3 linked regions of the Sus scrofa genome follow. The protein of the gene in region 3 interacts with the protein of the main gene of each other region in a pairwise test. Links are inferred from orthologs where the notes say so. Each region holds a gene or a part of one and is shown on either strand. Other genes may lie near its edges.

The links.
Region 1: the proteins of EHD3 (region 3) and RBSN interact in binary tests that used the Homo sapiens proteins (3 or more experiments, as listed by UniProt). The link is inferred for Sus scrofa from reciprocal best matches to the Homo sapiens genes EHD3 and RBSN.
Region 2: the proteins of EHD3 (region 3) and MICALL1 interact in binary tests that used the Homo sapiens proteins (3 or more experiments, as listed by UniProt). The link is inferred for Sus scrofa from reciprocal best matches to the Homo sapiens genes EHD3 and MICALL1.

The regions. Positions count from the first base shown.
Region 1 is NC_010455.5:69,431,476-69,435,121, reverse strand, and holds the end of RBSN (rabenosyn-5), read right to left. Parts: coding exon 3,233-3,646; 3' UTR 293-3,232; downstream 1-292. UniProt on the Homo sapiens protein: Rab4/Rab5 effector protein acting in early endocytic membrane fusion and membrane trafficking of recycling endosomes. Required for endosome fusion either homotypically or with clathrin coated vesicles.
Region 2 is NC_010447.5:9,950,372-9,954,017, reverse strand, and holds part of MICALL1 (MICAL-like protein 1), read left to right. Parts: intron 1-2,046; coding exon 2,047-2,095; intron 2,096-2,437; coding exon 2,438-2,579; intron 2,580-3,646. UniProt on the Homo sapiens protein: Lipid-binding protein with higher affinity for phosphatidic acid, a lipid enriched in recycling endosome membranes. On endosome membranes, acts as a downstream effector of Rab proteins recruiting cytosolic proteins to regulate membrane tubulation.
Region 3 is NC_010445.4:108,132,565-108,136,310, reverse strand, and holds the start of EHD3 (EH domain-containing protein 3), read left to right. Parts: upstream 1-1,149; 5' UTR 1,150-1,910; coding exon 1,911-2,137; intron 2,138-3,746. UniProt on the Homo sapiens protein: ATP- and membrane-binding protein that controls membrane reorganization/tubulation upon ATP hydrolysis. In vitro causes tubulation of endocytic membranes. Binding to phosphatidic acid induces its membrane tubulation activity.

The DNA of each region.
Region 1 (3,646 bases), on a different chromosome or scaffold from region 3:
CAGGCCAACCTCTCTCAACCTGTTTCTTTACCTGACAGCTGAACACCTGAGGAACCACCCCAAAGGGTTCTGTGCTACCCCTGCAGGAATAACTGAGAAGGTCTGAACCTGAACCCACATTTATCCTGTCAAAAGCCCAGGGACCTTGATTTTGTCCAGAGGACTTAACCACACAGGTTGACACATGAGCTGGGACTGTCTTCTGATACTCAGATGGTCTTTTAGAAAGGAGGGGAGGGGTGTTATCTGGTAATTCTCACCTACAACACATACTCACACACACACTCCCAACCACTAACATCTGTTCTTTTATTTTTTTAAAGTTTTCAATACAAGGCCTCAGAGTAGTGCATGCAAATCAATGACCCTCAAACTCTCTGTCACTGTCAGATGACCACCACAATCTGCTACCACAGTCTGTGACCTGGCAAAAAGACAAGCTTCTCACCCAAGTCCCATCACATAACTTATGCCAACATCCGACCTACAACATGGCTGTTGATGACTCAGGTACATTTTAGTATCTGAATAGAAAAGACACAGTGAGCAGCAAGTATAATGAGTAAGTGTCCTTAGTGTATTAGACAGGGAAAATACAAACACAGCATAAAAGTGAAAAGCCAGCTTCATTTGATGCCTGAATCCCCAAAGTCTCTTCCATACATGCTCTGGGTCTAGGGACATATGCCAATGCTGTATCAAGGACTTGCTCATTTTCTGATAACATGGAGCTGTTTGCATTGAAGGAATGCAGGATGAGTGAAATATTCACATGAGGCAAGATCTTGAAGTTATGGTGGCAATCACAGGTCATCTTTTCCTTGATGTTAACCAACCCCTGTAAATACAACTTTGTGCCCATGCGAATTCCAGGAAATGGTACAAATCAGGGGTAGAGAATTCTACCTCTTGTCATGCCTGTGACTATATGAGAATATAACCATGGGAGAATTAAATGGAAGAATTCATGGAAAAATACAGCCATGGAAGAATTCAATCACATCAGAAGGTTTGAGTCCAGAAGGGTTTTAGTTTGTTTTAGTATATTCAGTGATTTTTTTTTTTTAAGTTTAAAAACACGTTGCTTATGTGCGTGGTTCTCGATTCTCTTAGTTAATTACTAACTGCCACTAGCAGTTGATTTCAGGGAAAGGCTATGTTTGGTAAATTGGTCTTAATTGAAACCACTAGCTAACTAAAAGATGTATTCTCATTAGAAAGGAAATTATGAGGGAGAGCAGCATTTAGCTTCTGGAACGACCTGCTTTTGGTGCAGAGAGCTTCCTTCTCTTCAGTCAGAGAGAAAAGACAGATGAGCAGGTAGGAGCATGCAGCCCATCAGTAAACCCCTCTAGAGTAACAGCATGAAGGGCAATGACCTTGAGTAAGAAAAGACACATGTACCAGACAACATTTTAGATGCCTAAATGCCAACCTCCAAAAACCATGACAAGCAGCAAGGTTGGTAAGTGGTGGACCTTAGGACCCCACTTTACATTCCTTTGTGAACAGAACCCAAATGGCAAGTGTCGTCCACAGACTCTCCACCCACCCACTACCCATCCCCACACCCCTGCACAGGACCTTTCTATCCAGCCAAAGATCCAGCAGGTACTAAAGACATGTGAATAGTGTCAATACAAATATAGATTATTTTTATACCACAATGTTTTTCAGACATTCTCAAGATCAACAGGGTTCTTCACAGAATGTAACAAAATGAATTTCAGCTCTCACTCTACTAACCAATGAGAGTATCACCCAGAGTTAGTTAAGGGGTATAAAGTGACTAGTGGTCATTAGTTAACAAGCATAATTGCAGGAACTCTACCCAAAGCTGAGTACACTTGGGTTTCATGATGTCAGATGTCAGTTAAGGGTTATGTTCCTGTAAACCTAAGCACCAGAACTAAATCAACAATTTCCCTTTTTGCCCTCAACTGGTGAAGAGTTCAAGTACTATGGTTCTACTAGAATGATCCTGGGTTGTGCCTCTTTCAAACATTTCAGTTCTTATTACTAAACACTGGTAAGGAACTCACCAGTGCCCACGTTAGGACAAGATGAACCAGAAGACAAGAAGGCCCATCAATTAGCCTTGGAAGATATTTTAATTGACCTTCTGACTCAGGAAAGCATCAACTTCTCTAACAATATTCCTCAAAAACTTCCTGATCATCAATTCCTGAACCATAGACTGGGCCCACTGAAAATGCCCCAGAGTAATTTTGCCAAAGCTCTAGAAGGAGCTTTCTCCAGGGACAGACAATTGTCCCAGCAGTCATTCAATTCTACAGAGGGACACTTGGGTAAAGCCTATTCTCCCAAAGTATACTATCTCTATCAACTCAAAGGCTAACCACTCCTATTTTCTTTCTTTTTCTTTTTTGTCTTTTGGCCCACTGCATTTGGAAGTTCCCCAGCCAAGGATGAAACCCTCACCATAACAGTGACAACCCTGGATGTTTAACCCACTGGGAACCCATAACCACTCTTATTTTCTATAAAAAGTTCATCATCAGACTCACAGTGATACTTCTGCCCTAGCTTAACTTCCTGAAAGAGAACTCAGAGTAAGAGGGTAACAGGCCCTGGTGAAACCTCACCCCTCTGAGAGGTGCTGGGCTTTTCTGGGTCTAAACTGCTGCCTTCACAGCAATCCCTCCCCAGAAGGGCAAAGGAAGCCCCAGTTGAAAGGGACTTAGCCTCAGGGGGACAGACTTCTGCCAGAGCAGAGGAAGATTTAAAGGACTCTAGCTTGTCTGTCTTGGCTAAAGGAAGGGTCTTAATATAGGCTGCCCTATAATACTGCGTAAGGACCAAACAGCAGGCAGGAACAAATGGAAGCACAAGGTGCATGGCAGCCGCTTCTGCCCGGGGCCCTACAGAACTGCATATACTATCTCGGCAGTGAAGATTTAAAGTCCCTGCTAAAGGAAAGCCCAATGAAAAGCAAAAAAAAAAAAAAAAAAAAACAGGAAAAACAGCAAACGTGTGCTGATTCTTCCTGTTCCACTTCCCATTTTTTTATTCAACTATGGTGGAGAAAGCTCCAGGTGCACAGCACGAAGCAGCAGATTCCTCCCCCACTAACCTGTGTGCATCTTAAACCTTGCCCACTTCCTTCTCCATGAACCTCAGCAACCCTCCCCACAAAGGCACCCCACCCATCGAGGTCAGTCGGCGCCCTTCTGTTTGGCCAGGGTGCGCTTCAGCTCCCTCAGGTTGTCGGTCAGCACCTCCACCTCATCCAGGCGGCCACACTGCTTGGCATCAAAGATGTACGCTTGATGTTGTCAATCTGCTGGAGAAGGAGCTCCTCCTCTATGGGCTCCTCGCCCTCCCGCCCACTGTCGCTGTCCACCTCGAAGGGGTTGGTGCAGGGGGCTTCCTCGAAGGGGTTGCCAGGAACAGGAGGGCCTGAGGGCCTCTGACTGGGATGCTCTTCTTCTTCATCGAAGGGATTGGGGGCTGGGCTGTCAGCATCAGTGAAGGGATTTCCTGCCACCGCCTCCTCCTCCTTCTCCTCAAAAGGATTGTACTCTTTGAGGATGCAGGCTGAAGGGCTGAGGGAAGGCTCTGCAGCAGTAGGGCTGGCTGTGCCCTCAGCTGAGGGGATGGGGAGGTCTTCCTCATCAAAAGGATT
Region 2 (3,646 bases), on a different chromosome or scaffold from region 3:
GTCTTTAAGTTCCCTGGAGGGCAGGGACCCTAAGGCCTTCTTTTCTGTGCTCCTCGTCTCCCCCAGAGCCAGCTAGAACTTCCCAGGCCTTTGCGAACTCTCCGAAAATGATGTTTCCCAAGTCCAGATGTTGATTAGGGACAAAGGTAGGGGAGGGGAAGAAGCAAAGGAAACATCGTAGTGTCTTGGGGACCTTGGCAGTTTTCAGCTGTTTCCAGCACTCATTCATTCAGCAGACACTCGCGGAGTGCCTGCTGAGTACCCGGGACCAGGGCGGGTGTTGGGTACAGGACGTGAACAAAATGTGACCCCGGCCTTCTAGGAACGCTGCTGGGGAGACTGAGATAAACGGCTCAGACCAGTGGCTTTCCTCTCATTTGGTCTCAGGACAAGCTTTTGTTGGGGGCTGGGCTGGTGTCAATGTCACACTCTTCAGGAGTGGCAAACTGAGGGGAGGAGGCAGGGACCCAGCAGAGGGGAGAAGGAAGCCACCTGGCATGAGGTGGCAAAAGGGGCTGAAGCTCATATGCCATTTCCCTCCCCCTCCCCGGTCCACCTGGCCTTGGGTTTGCAAACGGCCCTCTCCTGCCTTGGCCCACTGTTCGCCCGCTATATCTTGGACTCTGCCTGGAGAAGCTGGGGTCGGGGCGGGGAGGGCAGGAGGAGACGGGCTCTCCCAGGCCCAGACGCTACCCATCCTCCCCACCAGCCTGAGAGGTGGGAGCTGAGCTTTCCCCACTTCGCAGATGGGTAAATCAAGGCGGCAAGGACTGCTGCCCAGGGTCACTTAGCCTCGCCTGGGAGAGCAGGACCCAGGACCCAGATGTTGGAGGCTGTGCTGCCCGCCCCGGCCTCTGGGCCCACGTCCCAGGCAGTCAGACTGCAGTTTTCAGCCGTAGAAGGATAAAGCTTCGGGCGGGTGCACCCTGGAGGCTGCTGAGCATGAAGGCTGGGCCTCCTCTGCTGGTTTTAGCGACTCCGACAGCCAGAGCTGGGCAGTGGGGTGGGGGTTAAAGCTGGGAGTCCCCCCAGGACAGGGCCTGCCCCTTCTTCCCACCTGTCCCAGCTCAGAAACTGGGACACCCTTTAGGGCTCCCCCAAGGCTGGTGCCCCCAGGAGTGGTCCAGTGGGGTCAGGCCAGCCGTTCAGCGCCAGCAGCTCTGGAGAATGTAATATTGCCAGGCTGGTTCAGACTTGTTCTATTCCTGGCCCCACTGAAACAACATTCCTTCTTGGGCTGGGCTGGGGATTCAGGAAGCTGGCGTGGCTTCTCCAGGTTTGTGACATGCAGTGGAAGGACCAGAAAGATGGATTCCCAGGGCTGGGTGGCTTCCCTGCTCTGAGCCTCAGTGTCCCTATCTGTAAAGTGGGGTCACTACCTGTTAAGTAGAGTTAAAAATAAGTAAATTTAAAGCAGGAGCTCAGCCCGGTATCCATTGTGAGGTCAGCACTCTGCGGATGTCCCCACTGCTACCAGCATCAGTCCTGGTCTTTTTTTTTTTTTTTTTTTTGGCTTTTGAGGGCTGCACTCACGGCATATGGAGGTTCCCAGGCTAGGGGTCCAATCGGAGCTACAGCTGCCGGCCTACACCACAGCCACAGCAACGTGGGATCCGAGCTGCATCTTCGACCTACACCACAGTTTACAGCAACACTGGATCCTTGACTGATTGAGGGAGGCCAGGGATGGAACCCGCATCCTCATGGATACTAGTTGGGTTCGTTAACGGCTGAGCCACAACGGGAACTCCTGATCTTAGTTTTGTCTTTGCCACTGAGTCAGGACGTGGCTTCCTGGGGGATAAACTTGAACCTGGGACTTTTCAGCCCCGCCCTTTCTCAGTGATTTCCAGCCTCTACTCAGAGGCCTTCGGGGCCTTGAGCTCATCCTCTGCCCAGGTGCTTTTTGCCCCCATTTCCTCCTCGACACCCCACCACCCGTCCCCAACCCTGCTGAGGCCCAGGCTCAGGCTGAGTCACCTCCCCTGGTCACACCCCGGCCCCAGCCCCCTCCTCAAGGTTCCTCCTCCCCTTTGCCTCCTACAGAGATTTTGATTCACTTTCCAAGGACAATGTCTTCGAGAATAACCGTTTGGTGAGTCCCCTGGAGAGATGGAAGTGCGAGAGACTGTGTACGTTGTAACTGGGCCACCGGGCCTGCCCCTTCTCCCGGTCACTGGTCACCATGTGGGGCCAGAGCTGGGCGGAGCCCACAGCCACCCCCGCCCTGGTCCCCCTCATCCCACCGAGAGCGAAGCTGGGCTGGTGATGAGTGGTACCTGCTGACCCTACCTCCTCTTCCTCTTCCTGCTGTGGCTTCCTCCGCAGGGCACCCCAGCCTCCCCCCCCACCCCCACCCCGCTTGCACCTGCACCGACCCCCACACTTCTCCCCGCTCTGCCCCCATCTCCCACCCTCACGTCTGCCCCCACCCCAGGCCTTCGAGGTGGCTGAGAAGGAGCTGGGGATCCCTGCTCTCCTGGACCCCAGTGACATGGTCTCCATGCGTGTCCCCGACTGCCTCAGCATCATGACCTACGTGTCCCAGTATTACAACCACTTCGCCAGCCCCGGCCAAGGTGAGAGGGGTGCCCCCGCTGTGCAGGGCAGCTGGCCCTGGGGGCGGGGCTGGGGCCGCACCCTGCTGTTTGCTGAGCTGCAAACAGGCCTGGGGAGGCAGCACCTCCTTCATTTACTGCCTGGCTCATTCACTCCTTCATTCACTCGTTGCAATACTTACCGAGTGAAATAACCCTGGGGGCCCACGTGGAGCCCACAGTCTTGTGGAGACAGACCACAAACACTGGAGCCAGCAACTGAGCAAAATAACATCAGAGGAGACAAAGCGAGTTCACCCGCCCTCTGGGAGTTCACCTTTGTCACCCACCCTTGCTTCCTGTTTGCAGACACTTCCCTGGGGTTTTTCCTCCAGCTGGCAAGGGGTCCTGCAGGGCGGCTGTGCACACCGTCTTCCTTAGCCGTGACCTTCAAGGCCTGAGAACCACGAGGCAGGGGAACTGTGGGGGGTAGGGGCTGCCAGGGTATTTCTCTGCTCTGGGTCAGGTCTCTGGGTGGCTATTGAGTCTCCAGCTTGGAGAGTCCCCGTGAGAGTCCCCACGCGGGAATCTCTCCTGGGGCTGCCTTGCCTTCCGCAGAGAGGAAACGGGCCCAGGGAGGGGAGGGAAGCGAGGATCCCAAGGTCACACAAGCAGGAAGACCAAATCCGGGCGTCCCGACTCCTGCGCCGTGTCACTGCTGCCACGGTTCCCCGGCCTCCATCACGGTCCTTCCTGCTGCTGTCTGTGGGGACAGTCTCAGCCTGTCTCTTAGAGTGGTATCCTATCAAGTCAGGGAATTTTTTTCTTCCTGAGAGTAAAACATGCTTACTGTAGGCAATTTAGGACAATAGGAAAGAGCATAAACATTTTAAAATTTAAATAATCTGTTACTCCCCCTCCCCCACCCCCAGCTATTTCTCCCCAGGGATCGATATTATAACTGAACCAATCACATGTGTATTTTACTAGAAACCAAAACGAAAGTATTTCTCAAGTGTGGAGTCTTTGGTGAGGGGCGGCATGGACTGCACTTTGTTGCTCTGCTACTTGCTGTCTGGGTGACAAGGGGCCACGTGTTGGTGAATAAG
Region 3 (3,746 bases):
TCCTTTGCTTCTCCAGCCCCTCCCCCAATCGCTATGGCATTAGCAGTCAGCCTACTTGGTTACTTCATCTGCGGAAAAGGAGTATATGGGAGCCATCCACCTTGGCAGGGAGGGGTATTTTATCACTGACACTGTTTAGAAGGGTGCGAATATAAAGCAGATTGACTTTGAGTTAGTTTTTGTTACTGTGTTTACATTCCCTACAGACAATGCACCCATTTTGCCTACACCTGGCCAGCTGTGCTGACCCCCATTCTGCTCAGCATGACACTGGAGACAGGATCTGCTTTGCAGAGCTGTTGTGAAGGTTAAATGAAGCAATACTCACTGGGAACTTAGCCCAGGCTCCTGCACATGGTGAGTGCTTGGTCCACGTTAACAGTTTTTAGTTATAACACTAGCATTGGCTCCTTATCCCCAGTAGGACTCCTGTTTTGGCAAAGCCTTGGCGCGTCTGGTCTCAGTCACTCCCTTCTACCCTCCTGAACCCCATTCTCTAGGTAGGGAACGGTTTACTCTGCCTTCACAGCACCAAGTCTTTCCATGTTCCCATGCCTTTGCGGGTGCCTTTTCATGGGCCTGGAATGTCCTCCTTCTTCGCTGCAGATTCATCATTTAAGGTCCAGCTCACAGTCATGCTTTTTGTGATGCCTTCCTCAAGTTAGCCAGACAAAAGGATGCCTCCTCCACTGTGCATCCATGGCCCTTAGCTCGCATCTCCTCTTTAAAGCCTGCCTTGGCTGGAGCCCCTGGAAAGGAGACACTGTCCGTGCTCATCTTTGTGATCTAGTCTGTAACCACAGTCACCAAAATTGCGTCTGTGCCATAATATAGGCTCAGTCCTTGTGGAGGTCTTGATTGGTTTGTTTGGTTTTATCGGAAGGAATGACCAAATGAATGAATGAAGGGGGATGGCTTTGAATTCACCCTAGATGGAGCAAAAAGTTCGGGCAGTGACAGAGTTGGTCATTGGAGGTAAGCTCACCTGGGACTCTTCTTTCCATGCCCCAAGAAAAATATTCTCAGGTAATAGAGTCCCTGTCATCCTCAAGAAGTGAACTCAGTAACTAAACGAAAGGCTGTATTTAAGAGCAGGGAGAGTGTGAAGCGGGTTAACTGTCTTCATAGCTGTCCCTGAGAGGGCGCTGTTCCCAAATCAAAGCTCCAGAGGCCGGGACTGAAATACCAGAGCGTTCCCACCGGACTCAGCATCCCTGCCTTCCCAGGCAGCTGGCGGTCGCGGGTCTCCAGGGCGGCGACTGCCCACAAACATGGCGGCGCCCTGCTCAGCTTCTCCCCGCCGGGGCCGCCAGGCCAGGCGAGTTTTGCCAGGACTCGGGGACTTCCTCCGCGAGCCGGCTTCCTGCACGACTGGCATTTAAACCGGCGCCTGGGGCTGCAGGTTGCGGCTGCGGATGCTGAGTTGTCTGCGGGCTGGGCAGCGCCGTCGCCTCCCCTGAGCCTCCGGCGCAGGCGGCAGCGGAGCCCAAGCATCCCTTAACTGCCCCCGAGCCAAAGCTGGAGAGAGCTGGGGGAGATCGGGGACCCTGGCATCTGGCATTTTAATTACAGGTTTGACTTTTTTCCCCCCAAGATCGCAGCCCTCCTGCTCAGCCCAGATATTTTTCCTCCCTCCGGCCTTGGTTGCTGGATGAAGCCGGGGCTGGGCTTGGTCCCGGGAGCAGGAGAAGAAAGCGTTCCCGGCCCCTCGCGGTCGCCCCAGGGACCCCCGAGCCCCGCGCCCCGGCCATGGTGCGCCTGAGCCCCGCGCTCCGGTGAGGCGGCGGCGCGGCTCGGATCCTGGCGGTCCCGCCCTGAGGGACACCTTCCGCAAGGAGCCGAGGGTGCGCGACGCGGGGCTCCGCGCCCTCCTGCTGGGACTGGGCACCGGGTGGTGAGCAGCGGCCGCGATGTTCAGCTGGCTGGGTTCCGACGACCGCCGGAAGAAGGAACCCGAGGTCTTCCAGACCGTGAGCGAGGGGCTCAAGAAACTCTACAGGACCAAGCTGCTGCCCCTGGAAGAGCACTACCGCTTCCATGAGTTTCACTCCCCTGCCCTGGAGGATGCCGACTTTGACAACAAGCCCATGGTCCTGCTGGTGGGCCAGTACTCCACCGGGAAGACCACCTTCATCAGGTGAGCCAGCCAGTGTCCCCGCAGCCCACCCCGCCGCCCAGCGTTTGGGCCCTCCATTCACTCCGGGTGTTCCCTCCTGCCTGGGGACAAACGCGCAGTCATCATTTGAAGGCTCTGGAGAAATCCTTGTGCAGGGCTGTCCAGAGCTTAGCCCCAAATTTCACTGTGGGTTTCCAACCCGGTCCAACCTACTGCCTCTCCCTTGCATCAGCCCTTGGCTTAAGTGGTCAGTTTGCAGTGCTAAACTTCATCCTTATTCTTCCCACTTTAGGGATGGTGAAACTGAGACCCAGGAGGCGCAGGTGACAAAGCCCTGGTCCAAGAGTACCTCTCGCTAGTGGAGGTGTCTCACACCTTCACGTTGTAGGGACATGCCCTGGCCAGTCACGGCCACTTCCCCTGCCCCATTCATATGGGGGCTTTACAGTTGCAGCTGAGAAGTTGGGCTGAGGAGCCTGTTGCCCTCTGCCTGGTTAGTGCCACTTGTCCTTCTTTTTCTCAATTTCCTTCTCTGAGCAGAGCTCAGAGTCTTGGAGACTGGAGAGAAGCAGTGTCCAGAAGCAGAATTCTTTTTTCTTTTCCCTTGTTTGAGCTTAATGGCTCAGTAATCATGAGTTTAGGGGTGGAAGGGATATTGGCTCTTGTCTCATCCAGCCCCTTGATGGGGCAGGAGAGGTAACCGAGGCATAGAGAGGTTACCTGAGCTGTGCAAAGCCCTACAACAGGGTAGGAGGCCGACCTGGGATGCAGGTCCTAGACGCATGGGAGGAGATGGTTGGCTGAATGCCTGTAACTTTGAGAGTGAGTCATCCATTCCCTTGAATTATAGAGTCCTTGGGCTCGAGGGATCCTCAGGAAGTCAGCGAGTCCATCTGTATTCAGGGAGGTGCCCAGATTGTCCACCAGAGCAATGAGGATTTTTCATATCTTTAGAGGACAGGCTTCTCTCCAGCCCTCAGTCCACACAAACCTCAAGGCCAAGCCATCCTCCTTGGCCTATTCATGGCCTCTGCAAGCTGCTGAGGGTGCTCGTGGCCCTCCACGTTAGAGTCAGGCTCATACAGAGTGGTGATGGGTTCGGTGCCTGCCCCCCCGCCCCACCCCCACCCCGAGTTAATGGTGCTCATCTCCTGCAAAGGTTTCAAAGCGGGGTGTTCTCATTTCCATTCATTGAGCACCTGCAACATGCAAAGCACTGTGCTTTATTTGGTGAGGAGAGCAGAAAAGTTCACAGTCTGGTTCCCAATTTTCTAGATTCAAATTTCCCCCAGCTCTAAGCTCTTAACAACAAGCCTTCTGGGAGCAGGGCATACACCAGGCTAATGTGGCATGTCTGAACAGAACACCACGGGAATCTTTCTTGTGGGGTGGACAGCCTTGAACTCAGCAGCTTTGAGAGGCAGAGTGATTTCTGAAGAAGTTGGGTACCCAGGGTGGATGTTGGCTTTTGGATATCTTAGACTGTTAGGGCTCCAAGGGCTTTTAGGGATGAATCTAATCCATGGCCTCTAAACTCTTTAAAAGAGAATCTGATGAAATCTGTGGACCTATCTTTAGAAAAATACACCTACATCCCAAATTCACTCTAATCTTGGGGGTTCAAGAACCC